Linked DNA regions of Sus scrofa. The protein of the gene in region 3 interacts with the protein of the main gene of each other region in a pairwise test. Links are inferred from orthologs where the notes say so. Each region holds a gene or a part of one and is shown on either strand. Other genes may lie near its edges.

Region 1 (4,126 bases), on a different chromosome or scaffold from region 3:
CTATCAGAGATTTATGTCACTAAACTCCAAAGGGAAAAATAATTTCCACTTTCCTAACTGACAGTGTTTCAGATGCTCTCTCATCTTAGCCAGAAAAGCAAAAGGTAAATAAGGTTAAAAGAGAGGGCATGGCATTATAGCTAGAAGATAGAGCATATCTAGATAGTCTATGCCCAGTAGTATGGTATTCCCCAAATTTAGGTAGGAACAACAAGGTCAGAAGTTAAAGAACAATAAACTAATTACCCTTAAGTGTGCAAGCTGAGCAGGAGAGACATCGTTGGTTGCCAAATCATGTATTTTAGACATAGAGGAATCCTTAAAGGTCAAACTTCATAGCCACAAGGAAATTCTTTCCACAGAATCCTTGACAATTGTTTTCAGCCTCTGTGAGAACATATTACAAAGAGCTCACAAATTCACTGGAGAGTCCATTGCCCTTTATAAAGTTCCTTTGTATTGAGCTGAAAGTGCCTCCTTGTAGCTTCTACTCTGGAGTACCACGGAACTCATTTACACCATCTTCTCCAAGGTGGTATCCCTTCAACCCTGGAAGCTGGACAGGAGTAGGAGAGACAGAAGTGCCACTGACCCTGTAGCTATTTTAAATTAGATTCCTTAAATGAGATCAATCACTTCTCTTTTTCCATGCTAGGAGTCTGGTAGCATATTGTACCTTTAATGAGGTAGTAGAAAAAAAAAAAATGCTAGACTGGCTTCAAGGCTTCTCCCTGTTACATCATAGCTGTGCAACCTCCGATAGGTTACTTAACCTCACTGAGCCTTTTGGTTCATCTATAAAGAGGATCATCTATAAATAGAAGTAGTAAAACCTGCTGTGCTAATCTCAGAGTTGTAATACTCACAATATGTCATGTACATGAAAATATCCTGTAAATTATAAAGGGATCTACATACATTAAGTAGTTATTATAATAACTGTTTTTACTTGATCTTTTTATCAGCCTTCCATATCCTCATTTTTGACTGGCAGGTAGCTGATTTGTCAACCTTATAATCTGGGTATACCATAAAGTTCTCATTTCAGTTTATACCCCAGAAGCAGTCATATCATCAAACAAGGTGGCATGGAATCATGAAATAACCAAAAAGCACGGTGGAGTGAAGATCTTAGAAGAGGGTTAGAAAAACAACCGAGGGACATTTTCTGAACAGACAGCATGGTGAGAGGCCCGAGCCCTGGCAGGGAGGAGAGGGTTAAATCCCTTCCTCTGCAGTACAAAAGAAAAGAGTGTGCGGAAAGATTAGGATTTTTGCTTTTACAATGGGAGCTGCAGAAGCGTAGGGAAGAAGCTGAAGAAAAAAAAGGGGGCGTCTCCCCTTTAAAGACTTGCAGAGATTGAGAGAGAAAGAGAGAGAGTCAGGGACAGAGAATCAGAGAGAGCGCACGCGTCTGTCTGTCCGTCCCAGGAAACGAGAACATCTCTGCTTCACAGTGATTGGCACTGGGGGAGGCATCAGTTGGCTTTAGACCCAAGGGGGAGACCAGACCAGGTCACCCCGGTTAAGACTAAGTGAGCGTTGCCCCTCCCTATCCCACCTCTCTCTACCCGGGAATGTCTCGGCGAAAGCAGCGGAAACCCCAACAGTTAATCTCGGACTGCGAAGGTCCCAGCGCGTCTGAGAACGGTGGGTGCCTGGGGAGGGTGGGGGAGCCCTGAGTCCAAGCCTGTGTGGGTCAGGCCAGGGCAAGGGAGGGCACCCGGGCCATGGGCGAAACCAGGGGGAGGACTTGGTCACTGGGTGGGAGTCGGGGGTGAAGGAGTTGAGATGCAGGGAGTGAGGAGATGACCTGTGCCCGGGAGAAGACCTGCTTGGCTTTTCTCGGGAATTGATTCTGTTTGTGTTTTCTGTGTTGTTTTTCTCGGCTGAAATGGAGTTTTCAAACTGGCTCTGTCTCCCCACCCAAGAGTTTTCTCCCCAGGTCCCCCTTTGCTCACTGGTCTTTGTGCCGTTGCTAAGTAACCTCCTCAGACCTGAAGACCGTCTCTTAGGGGTGGGATTTCCCCCCTCGCCTTTCTTTCTGGGGAGTTGGGTTGCAAGAGAATGAATTGGATAAACGTGAAGGTTCCCCTGAGGGAGAAGAGAAAAAAGTTTCTCATTGTTGGGCTGAGCAGACAGCAGAGCAGAACTCCCAAAGGGAGTGAGCTAAAGCCGGTCAGATGTAGCTTGGTTTGGGATGTGTATCTGTGTCACCTGGCGTAGAGGCTGGAGGAAAGGTCTGGGTGAGGGGCATGGGTTGGTTTGTGCTTCAGGGGAGGCCAAGCTAAAAAAAAAAAAAAATGTATGAGTTAACATACCTGTTAATACAAGCATACCATTTTATGAGGGTATTAGGATATCATCAGTTTCCTTAAGTAACAGATTTTCTTTGTGAGTTTTCATGTATTCTTAAAATATTCCAGTGAGTAAGAGGCAGCCTACAGGGCAACTAGGGTACACAGAAGTGACATTGCCCAGCCTCAGAAACAGAGGCATTGTCGAGACAGAAAACTAGGTTTCATGATATTCAGGGTAGGTGGTGCTGACTCCACATAAATTAGGGTTTTCCAAACTTGCTTGATTATGGGTAGATCTGGGCTAGGGTCGGGGAATCTATATCTTTGCAAATGTCCAGATAATTCTTAAGATTGAGCAAGTTTGGGACAATCTGGCTACATATGTTCACTTTATGAAACTCTGAAAGTCCTGGTTCAGGGATTAACTAATTTGCTTAGCAAATAATTGATTCACCCAACAATATAGTGTAGGATTAAGTACAAGGGTTCTGAAGCCAGACGTTTAGGATTCAAATCCTTGCTCTACCATTTGGTTAGCTCTGCAATCTTGGTTGGTTGACTTTGCCTTTCCATGCCTCAGTTTCCTCATCTGTGAAATAGGAATGATTCACGCTAGCTACCTCATGAGGTTATTGTGAAATGAGTTAGTACATATTAATACACTTGGAAAAATATGGTACAGTCCCTATCATAAATAAGTACTTAATATGTGAGTATTATTAGCATTATATGTGAGTACAGTGGCACTTCCTGCAAGTGCTGAAATATGATCAAGGCTCAGGAGCCTCTTGGTGAACTTAAGCATTTCTTTATGAAATGTGTGCAGTGAAAAGCTTTAGGATAATGTATTTGTAGTGACTAAAACTAGATCACTGATTAAATTTACCTTTCCACCTGTTGTTTAAAAAAAAAAAAAAAGATACGATCAAATCAGGGCACCACGTGCTATGGAACAGCCTTAGCAGACATACTGGGTTTTGGGTAGAGAGCATCCCCCTTGAGTCAGTGCTTTACTAGGATCCCACTGTGCCAATATTAAGAGGTTCAGGCTGGTGGCATCCTACCCTCCTGGGACATATTAGCCCTTCTTAATGCTGCTACAGGCCGGATGTTTCCTCCTGCTGCTCTACAGGAGACTTCCCCCAGAGCCTCAGAGTTGCCTTACAGCTCTGCTCCCCTGCTGGTTGGATTGTGGAACAATGCTGAGTCCCCTCCACTCCAGAGGCATCCTCTCCTTTCTTCCCCTCTCCTCTCTTCTCCCCACATCCTCAGTTTACCCATTCCCCATACCACTGCTGAGCAAGAATCTGGAAGGAAGTCACAAGAAGTCTTTCACAGCTGCCCTGGGTGGATTCTCAAGCCCCACTTGGGACTGTGAACACTTGGGGGCTTAGGGGTACTGCTACAAAGCTGTCTCCATAGAAACAGTACAGGCTTGAACCCAGTGACAGCAACAAATTTCAGTTAAGATTTTTTTCCTCTGAGCCATAAAAGTTAGAAACATAAATATAAGGAGCAAGAAAGCAGTAGTAACCTTAAGAAAGCCCAAGGGGTCTCGATTCCAAATTCTCCGGAGACTGAAAGATCCTGAGCTACTTGCATGACCTAGAATGTTCACTGGGTCTCACTTGTGAAAAATGAGGTGGAATTTTAGATCAAATCTAAAATTCCTTCCTGCTCTTGTAAGATATATAGATAGGGTTTCTATTCACTTATGTGATCTTCAGCTGCCTGAGTTTTCCCCAGGGACATTTTCTTGTTCTGCATGCCCCTAAATTAGGTAGGGAGAGCTAATATTGGAGGCTCTCATGTGTGTCCTTTTACAA
Region 2 (4,334 bases), on a different chromosome or scaffold from region 3:
AATGTTACATTAGAGCTTAAGTTAGTCATTAATATATTTGAATGAATCCAGAAATTTTCTGTGATATAAAACTGCAGTTTTTACACAACTAAGTATGCATACTCTAATAACATTCATACCGTTCAGCAGCTTGCTTTTTAAGGCCTTTTTAAAGCTTTGATATCTTTCTGTAAGTGATGTCATTCTTTCAAATTAACCTTTATTTGCTGAATTTTTTTTTTTTTGGTTTTGTTATGCTTTCATACATTCTATAATTGCTACACTGTACAATGACTTTTTTTTCCACTGAGCAGCATATATCCTTGCTAAGACCAGATACTGCTTTTGAGTGCTTTATATAGATTATTAACTCATTTAATCTTTATATCAAAGGTATTTACGATATGTATTATCTCTTAAACTCATTTCACAGATGGAGAAGCTGAAGTGCAGAGGTTAAGTAATTTGTTCAAGGTAATAGCAAATGGTAGAGCTAGGCTTTGAACCCAAAGCAATCTGACTCCTGAATGCTCTTAACCTACAGCATCCTACCTCTGTAATTTGTCATAGACGTGTTCCTCTGCGTTTCATGTCACTGAGCCTCATTCTTTTCAGCGGTTACGTAAGTGCCTGTGCTATAGATGAACTGTAAGTGAACTCTTCCCTGTTGGTGTTTTGACTCCCATGTTTGTCTCCAGCCCTAGGTCTCCAACCACCTCCTTGGTGTGTCCCACATGTGCCAGACTTAAGTTTAAACTGACTCAAAACTGAGTTCCTCATCTTCCCACCTGCACCTTCCCCCTTGTCCCCATCTGAATGGCAATGCCAACACCTACCAGTCACCCAGGATGGAGACAGGAGCCAGACTGTGAGGGAATAAGTGAAGTAAAGTAGATTCTAAAGGAAGTGGAAGGTGTCTAGGTAAGTAGCATAGGGAAAGAGACTTACACAAAACTAAAAGGAGGTGGGCTAGCTTTGGGCATGTGGAAGGAACAGGTGGGAAGAGGGAGGGTGGAGAAGCCAAATTTAGGCTTCTGGGTTCTTAGCTGTTCATCACCAAGGTAACTGGGTTGCTATGGTAACAGCAAAGGCAGCGTGCCTTTTCCAAGAACCTCCTCTGCGGCGGTTACCCTCACACCAGCCAGGCACTTCCACGTGGGGGCGCCGGCTGGGGGTAGGCTTAAGAAGGCGGGAATTGCTGCGGCATTGGCCAATCGAATGGGCTCTGCAGCGAAGGACGCAAAGGCGGGGTCGAAACTTCTTTGAAGTTCGCCAAAGGGCGTTATTAGGCGGGCTCAGGTCCTTTTCCCACCACTTAGGGGCCGAGGAAAGGGGGAGGGCGGGGCTTGGGTGAGGCCCTCAAGAAGGCCCAGCCCTGGTGAAATATGTGAAGCTCCGCCTATTCCTTCTTCTGCTCAATAGGAAGCCAGAGAGTCAATCCGGACAGTTAGGGTTCCCAATGAGTGTCGTCGCCATGCCCCGGGGCGTGACGGGGCCAGCCAATCGGCGGCGGTGGTGGGCGGGCACGGGCGGCAGAGGCGGTGCGGCGGAGGTGGAGCGGGCTCTGCCGCAGGAGGGAAGATGGCGGACGAAGAGAAACTGCCACCCGGCTGGGAGAAGCGCATGAGCCGCAGCTCAGGTGCAGCGGGGGTCGGGGCTGGGGCGGGGCCGTGTGGGCCCATGGAAGCAGGGCTCTAGCTTGTCCCTCGGACGCGGGCGGCCGCTCGATTCCCGTGGGGTCTTGGCTCCTTCGCGTTGTCCCTGGGTAACGGCCCCGGCCCTCCCCGGGGCTGCGAGCCTGAGGAGCTGGGAACCCGAGGAAATTGAGGCAAGGGACTGGGTCGGAGAGGCCCGGCGCGCTGCCTGGGTGGTAGGGGGACAGTGTACCCGCGGCGCTCCCCCAGGCAATGGCCTTGGTCCTGCCGATCTTGCTGACATCTTTCAGCCTAATGCACCTGACATCCGGCGGGGGTGGGGGGGGATGTCTTTGCACCCTGCTGGGCCCAAGGGGCACCCCTGGGGAAGGACACCCCAACACCATGCTCAGGGCGTGGCCCCAGGGTGTTGCTTGGCTTCGAATCCTAAACCTCCTGCTAACGTGCCTGCCATCCACACCGAATTCTGAGTTTGCTATAATGTGAGAATTCAGGTTATCTGCCTGAGAATAGTCTCTGTGCTCGGAGCCGATTAGGGCTTTTCCCCCATAATAATGTTAATAATAGGTCTTATCTCAGTGCCAAGTATTGTGCTAAGGGTGTTAAGTGTGTACTCTGGCCACAACTCTGAGAGGTAGGGTAGTTAATAACACCCAGTTTGCCGGTGAGGAAACCGAGGCCAGAAAACTTAAGAAACTCGCCCATAGTCGTTCATTTCAGGGGCTGGGGGCTGGGTTAGATACCAGTCTAACTCCAGAGCCCCCTGCCCTTGTTACTGTAAACCTCTGAGATGCAGGCCCACCATTTCACTCCCCTGCCTCCATAGCTCATAATCATCATGGTCACAGTAATAATTCCAATTTATTGAACGCCAGGAGCTCTGTCGAGCACTTTGCACTCATCATGATGGACTCTCCACATTAACCCCATGAAGTGTTATATCTTTATTCTCTCACCTTGCCCTCACTTTTCAGATGAGTACACTCAGGTTCAGGGAGATGGAACCCATTGCCAAGGTTTTAGAGGCATTGTTTGGCTCAGCTCTGGCCCACCCTGCTTGCAGCCCTGTGGCTGGGACCTGCAGCAAAAAAGCTGATGCTCTTCTCAGTTCTGGGCCTCCACTCCTGCCATTTCTGCTCAGCTCAACCCTGACAGTCTTCCTCCTGGGTGACATCCAGCCCTTCACGGTCTTGGGCAGAAGTCCTCCATATAACCCAGACAAACTCGGCCCCTGGAATGACAGCCTATCTCTACTGGGTCCTACTTTAAGTTTCTTTCTTTTTTTTCCTTAGATAAGAAGTAGATTTATTGATACAGTGTGGGCCGTCTCAGAAGGTGAGAGCAGCCTGGAAGATGCACATTCTTTAGACAGAATATTATCTCAAAAGGCCAGAGAGTGGCCTCAGGTTTCTTGTTTGCAGCCCTCACTCCATGCTCCTTAGTCTCTGGGTAACATCTGGCCCCCAGTAATGCTGGCCCCTAGTTCTGCTGCACAGTGCACTCCAGAGGGGAAAAGAGCAGAGTTTTGGCATCTGGCACACCTGAGTACAGATCCTGCTATCTCCCCCACCACACCCCACCCCCGGCTTTTATGCCTGGAGCAGAGTAAATACCCAGGGAAGGTTGCTTAGTTTTGTGGTCTATAACATGGAGATATTAGTAGCTGCCACAGTCTTTTTTTTTTTTTTTTTTTTTTGTCTTTTTAGGGCCATACCCATGGCATATGGAAGTTCCCTGGCTTGGGGTCAAATTGGAGCTACAGCTGCTAGCCTATGCCACAGCCACAGCAATGCTATATCTGACCCACATTTGTGACCTACACCACAGCTCACGGCACCGCTGGATCCTTAACCCACTGAGCGAGGCCAGGGATCAAGTTCTCATGGATGCTAGTCTGCTTCATTAGCGCTGAGCTATGACGGGAACTCCTCCTACACTCTTAATTAAGTGTGCCAGGTGCTGTCCTAAGTACTTTGCAGATGTGAATTCATACAGTCACTCCTTCAGGCAGGTACTGTCCTTATTTTCATTTTATAGGCGAGAAAACCACGGCCCCGGGAAGGTAGATCACATGTGAGGGTGTGGTGGAGCCACAGATTTGGACCGGCCTTGCTGAATGCATGCTTGGAACCATTCTCTGTCCCTGAGGCTTCCTCTCTTCCTAACCTTCAGTTATTTTCCCCCTTGAACTTTTTTTTTTTTTTTTTTTTTTTTTGGTGGTGAAAGAAAGTGTAGCATTTATTGTAAGGCAGTACAAGTAGTCTGAGACTAGCTAGTGCTCAAAAATCCTGCACTCCCCCCTTGACCTTATTAATGACTGAAGTTGTAAGGTGGTCTCATTTGCTTCTTTGGTGTCTGTGTCCCCAGCTAGAATGCTAGCTCCCTAAGGCCTGGTGGCACTGGGGACTTGCTGAATGAAAGGTAGTTCGTCAGCCAGCCCCTGATCATGGCTTCCCAGTGGTGTCCTGTGAGCAGGTCCCAGCTGAATTCCACTTCCACCTCTTCCAGGCCGGGTGTACTACTTCAATCACATCACTAATGCCAGCCAGTGGGAGCGGCCAAGTGGCAACAGCAGTGGCGGCAGCAAAAATGGACAAGGAGAGCCCACCAGGGTCCGCTGTTCGCATCTGCTGGTCAAGCACAGCCAGTCCCGGCGGCCCTCATCCTGGCGGCAGGAGAAGATCACCCGGACTAAGGAGG
Region 3 (3,563 bases):
CAAGGGACTTCCTACGGGCCCCCTGAAGCCCCCTCCTGGTTAAGGACAACTGCTTTCTGAGAGACCACTCAGCAGCAGTTGGGGTCCTAACCCTAGTTGAGCACTAGGGGGATGGCAGGTGGTCCACACACGCCTCTGAAGGCACCAGAAGCCATGGGGAGGGATCACTGACTGGGCAGCTGAGACAGGACGGGGTGGAGGGACGCCAAGATTCTGCTCCTTTTGGAGGTGAAGGCCAAGCCCAGGTTCCCGGGAGAGATGCCACCCAGGCCCATGGAAGCGGGGTGCGTGCTCCCCTCGCCACGGTCCCTGCAATGGGGATGGGGCAGCCTGTCCGGCCCGGTGGCATCTGGCGCAGACGGCCCGTTCACACCAGCGTGGCCCGCTTCCAGGCAGTGGCCCCTGTGACGAGCTGCGGCTGACCTTCCCCGTGCGGGATGGGGTGGTCCTGGAGCCCTTCCGCCTGCAGCACAACCTGGCCGTGAGCAACCACGCCTTCCAGCTCCGCGACTCCGTCTATAAGACCCTGATGCTGAGGTGAGCGGGCGCCCGCCCCCAGCTCGCAGCCCCTCGTGCCGCCCTCTCGCTCTCAGCATCCGTCCTCCCCCCGCAGGCCTGACCTGGAGCTGCAGTTCAAGTGCTACCACCACGAGGACCGACAGATGAACACCAACTGGCCGGCCTCCGTGCAGGTCAGCGTCAACGCCACCCCGCTCACCATCGAGCGCGGCGACAACAAGACCTCCCACAAGCCCCTCTACCTGAAGCACGTGTGCCAGCCCGGCCGCAACACCATCCAGATCACCGTCACGGCCTGCTGCTGCGTGAGTGCCTTCGCAGGCCGGGGTGGGGGCTCCACAGCTCTCCTTCCCACCCCGGCCCTTGAAGGAAGGGGCCCCGGTTATGAACGGCCTCGCTGCTCTTTGGTTCGGTTCCCCAACTAGATTCGGCGCTCATGTAAATTACATAAGAGAAACGAGCTGAGCCTGTGTCTTCCCTGGAGGAAGCTCGTGGAGTCTCGAGTCCCCAGCTGACCCTGAATCCTTGCTAAGGAGTCACCTGGGTTCCAGCAGGCTCTGAGATCCAGGACTAGAAGAGGCAGGATGTGCTTAGATGGGCAGCACAGAGCAGCCTGGGTGGGAGGGAGGGGTGCTGTAGGCAGGGCAGCCCCCATGCAATGCTGCGGGCTTAGGATGGCTTCACGTGGAGCCAGCGCAGATCACAGTGGGGAGCTGTAGGCAGGGCGCATTCAGGGGCCTCTTGAGTTGATGGAGAGGCTGTGGTGCAGACACGTGGTGGGCTTTACATGTGGGCATGGACGTGGTCCCCTGGGCTCCTGGGGGAGGGGCAGCAGGTGGCCTGCCTGAGTTAGGGAGGAGGGACTGGGCCTGCGCTGCTCCCCCCGGGCCACGTCCCGCTGACTGGGTTCCCCCCATTGCAGTCCCACCTCTTCGTGCTGCAGCTGGTGCACCGGCCGTCTGTCCGCTCCGTGCTGCAGGGTCTCCTCAAGAAGCGCCTCCTGCCGGCCGAGCACTGCATCACCAAGAGTGAGTGGCTCTTGCCCTCCTTGCCCCCCCGCCCCAGCAGCCACCCCGCACCCGAGCAGCGGCCACTGCTGCGTGCATCCCGTCCCCGTGTCCCTCAGGGCTGTCTCCGCTCGGGCAGGGGCTCCGCCCAGCCCCTGGCTTTGCTCAGGTCCCCCTTTGCCCTGTCCATGGCAGTAAAGCGGAACTTCAGCAGCGGCACCATCCCCGGCACCCCTGGGCCCAACGGAGAGGATGGGGTGGAGCAGACGGCCATCAAGGTGTCCCTCAAGTGCCCCATCACCTTCCGCAGGATCCAGCTCCCTGCCCGAGGTCACGACTGTCGCCACATACAGGTGTGTGGTCACTGCAGAGCTTTGCCAAAACCTCTGCCGCATTTAACCGATTTCAGCGGACATGGCCTCTGAGCACCTCAGCTGAGGAGGCCAGGCCAGCCAGTAGGCAGGTGACAGTGGCCTGGCTCCCCTGCTCTCTCCCCTCAGACTGGGATTTTGTTTCTTCTCATATTACTCTACATGTAACATTCATTTCCCCACACGGACCTGACTCGGATTTCTCAGGCGTCAGGGATGCAGGGCGCCCCCAGGAGCAGCGCCTTAGTTTCTGTCTCTGTAGAAACACACTCTGCGTGCACACAGGTCCCTGCACACGCACTCCCCACCCCACCTGCTTCGGGTTACGTGAGCAGTACATTCTTTTTTTTTTTTTTTTTTTTTTAATTTATTTTATTTATTTATTTATTTATTTATTTATTTTTTGTCTTTTTTTTTTGGTCTTTTTGCTATTTCTTGGGCCGCTCCCGCAGCATATGGAGGTTCCCAGGCTAGGGGTTGAATTGGAGCTGTAGCCACCGGCCTACGCCAGAGCCACAGCAACGTGGGATCCGAGCCGCGTCTGCAACCTACACCACAGCTCACGGCAACGCCGGATCGCTAACCCACTGAGCAAGGGCAGGGACCGAACCCGCAACCTCATGGTTCCTAGTCGGATTCGTTAACCACTGCGCCACGACGGGAACTCCAGCAGTATATTCTTACTGCACCTTTCCAACCGAGCCTTGGAGGTCAGCTGTCAGCACGGCTGCCTGACTCTTGCTTTGGCTGCGTGGCGGTCCAGGCCCCGTGAGGGCTGCAAAGGCTGTCTGCAGTCTCGGGAAAGCCTGGCCCCCCTGCCCTCTCAATCATGCGAGCGCCCAGAGCCCACCTGCCCCAGGACGAAACATCTCTCCCCTTCTCTGCAGTGCTTCGACCTAGAGTCCTATCTGCAGCTCAACTGTGAGCGAGGGACCTGGAGGTGCCCCGTGTGCAAGTGAGTCTGTCAGAGGTGGTCCCCCTGGCTCTGGGGGTGGCACAGGCGTTTCCTTCCAACAGCACCAAGAAATGCCCAGGCCAGGTGTGGGAGTCCCAGCATGGGGGGGGAAGAAGGGGCAGCTCGAGGCAGTGACCTCGCACAGGGTCATGGCACACTGGGAGCTGGACAGGGACAGCTGTGCCCAGGATGAGGTTGGGCCAGGCCTCTGAGCCGTGTCCCCTTTGTCTTCCACAGCAAGACGGCGTTGCTGGAGGGCCTGGAGGTGGACCAGTACATGCTGGGCATCCTCATTTACATCCAGAAGTAAGTCTTCTTTCCCTCCCCCCGCCACCGTCCCGTGGTCAACAGAGCGCCACCCTGGCCCGGGGAGGCCCCCTTGCTGATCCACGTGGAGCAGGCTCGACTCCAGGCCGTGGATGGGATCCTCATCCCGCCTAGGCCCGCCCCCCTCAGGGCACGTGGAGCGTGCTGGGTGCCCCCGAGCATTTGAGGGGAAGGTCTGCCTAGACACGACCCAGCGCCAGGAGGGGCAGCCGGGCAGGGGGTGACTAGCCCTGCCTGTCCCTGCCCAGCTCTGACCACGAGGAGATCACCATCGACCCGACGTGCAGCTGGAAGCCGGTGCCTGTGAAGCCTGACGTGCACGTCAAGGAGGAGCCAGACGGGCCGGTGCTGAAGCGCTGCCGCACCGTGAGCCCTGCCCACGTG

What was found.
Region 1: the proteins of ZMIZ2 (region 3) and SALL2 interact in binary tests that used the Homo sapiens proteins (3 or more experiments, as listed by UniProt). The two-hybrid records come from large-scale screens. The link is inferred for Sus scrofa from reciprocal best matches to the Homo sapiens genes ZMIZ2 and SALL2.
Region 2: the proteins of ZMIZ2 (region 3) and PIN1 interact in binary tests that used the Homo sapiens proteins (3 or more experiments, as listed by UniProt). The two-hybrid records come from large-scale screens. The link is inferred for Sus scrofa from reciprocal best matches to the Homo sapiens genes ZMIZ2 and PIN1.

What each region holds. Positions count from the first base shown.
Region 1 is NC_010449.5:77,637,678-77,641,803, forward strand, and holds the start of SALL2 (sal-like protein 2), read left to right. Parts: upstream 1-1,293; 5' UTR 1,294-1,577; coding exon 1,578-1,650; intron 1,651-4,126. UniProt on the Homo sapiens protein: Probable transcription factor that plays a role in eye development before, during, and after optic fissure closure.
Region 2 is NC_010444.4:68,714,393-68,718,726, forward strand, and holds the start of PIN1 (peptidyl-prolyl cis-trans isomerase NIMA-interacting 1), read left to right. Parts: upstream 1-1,505; 5' UTR 1,506-1,560; coding exon 1,561-1,618; intron 1,619-4,142; coding exon 4,143-4,334. UniProt on the Homo sapiens protein: Peptidyl-prolyl cis/trans isomerase (PPIase) that binds to and isomerizes specific phosphorylated Ser/Thr-Pro (pSer/Thr-Pro) motifs.
Region 3 is NC_010460.4:50,585,414-50,588,976, reverse strand, and holds part of ZMIZ2 (zinc finger MIZ domain-containing protein 2), read left to right. Parts: intron 1-392; coding exon 393-537; intron 538-613; coding exon 614-824; intron 825-1,441; coding exon 1,442-1,547; intron 1,548-1,721; coding exon 1,722-1,879; intron 1,880-2,784; coding exon 2,785-2,852; intron 2,853-3,089; coding exon 3,090-3,158; intron 3,159-3,427; coding exon 3,428-3,563. UniProt on the Homo sapiens protein: Increases ligand-dependent transcriptional activity of AR and other nuclear hormone receptors.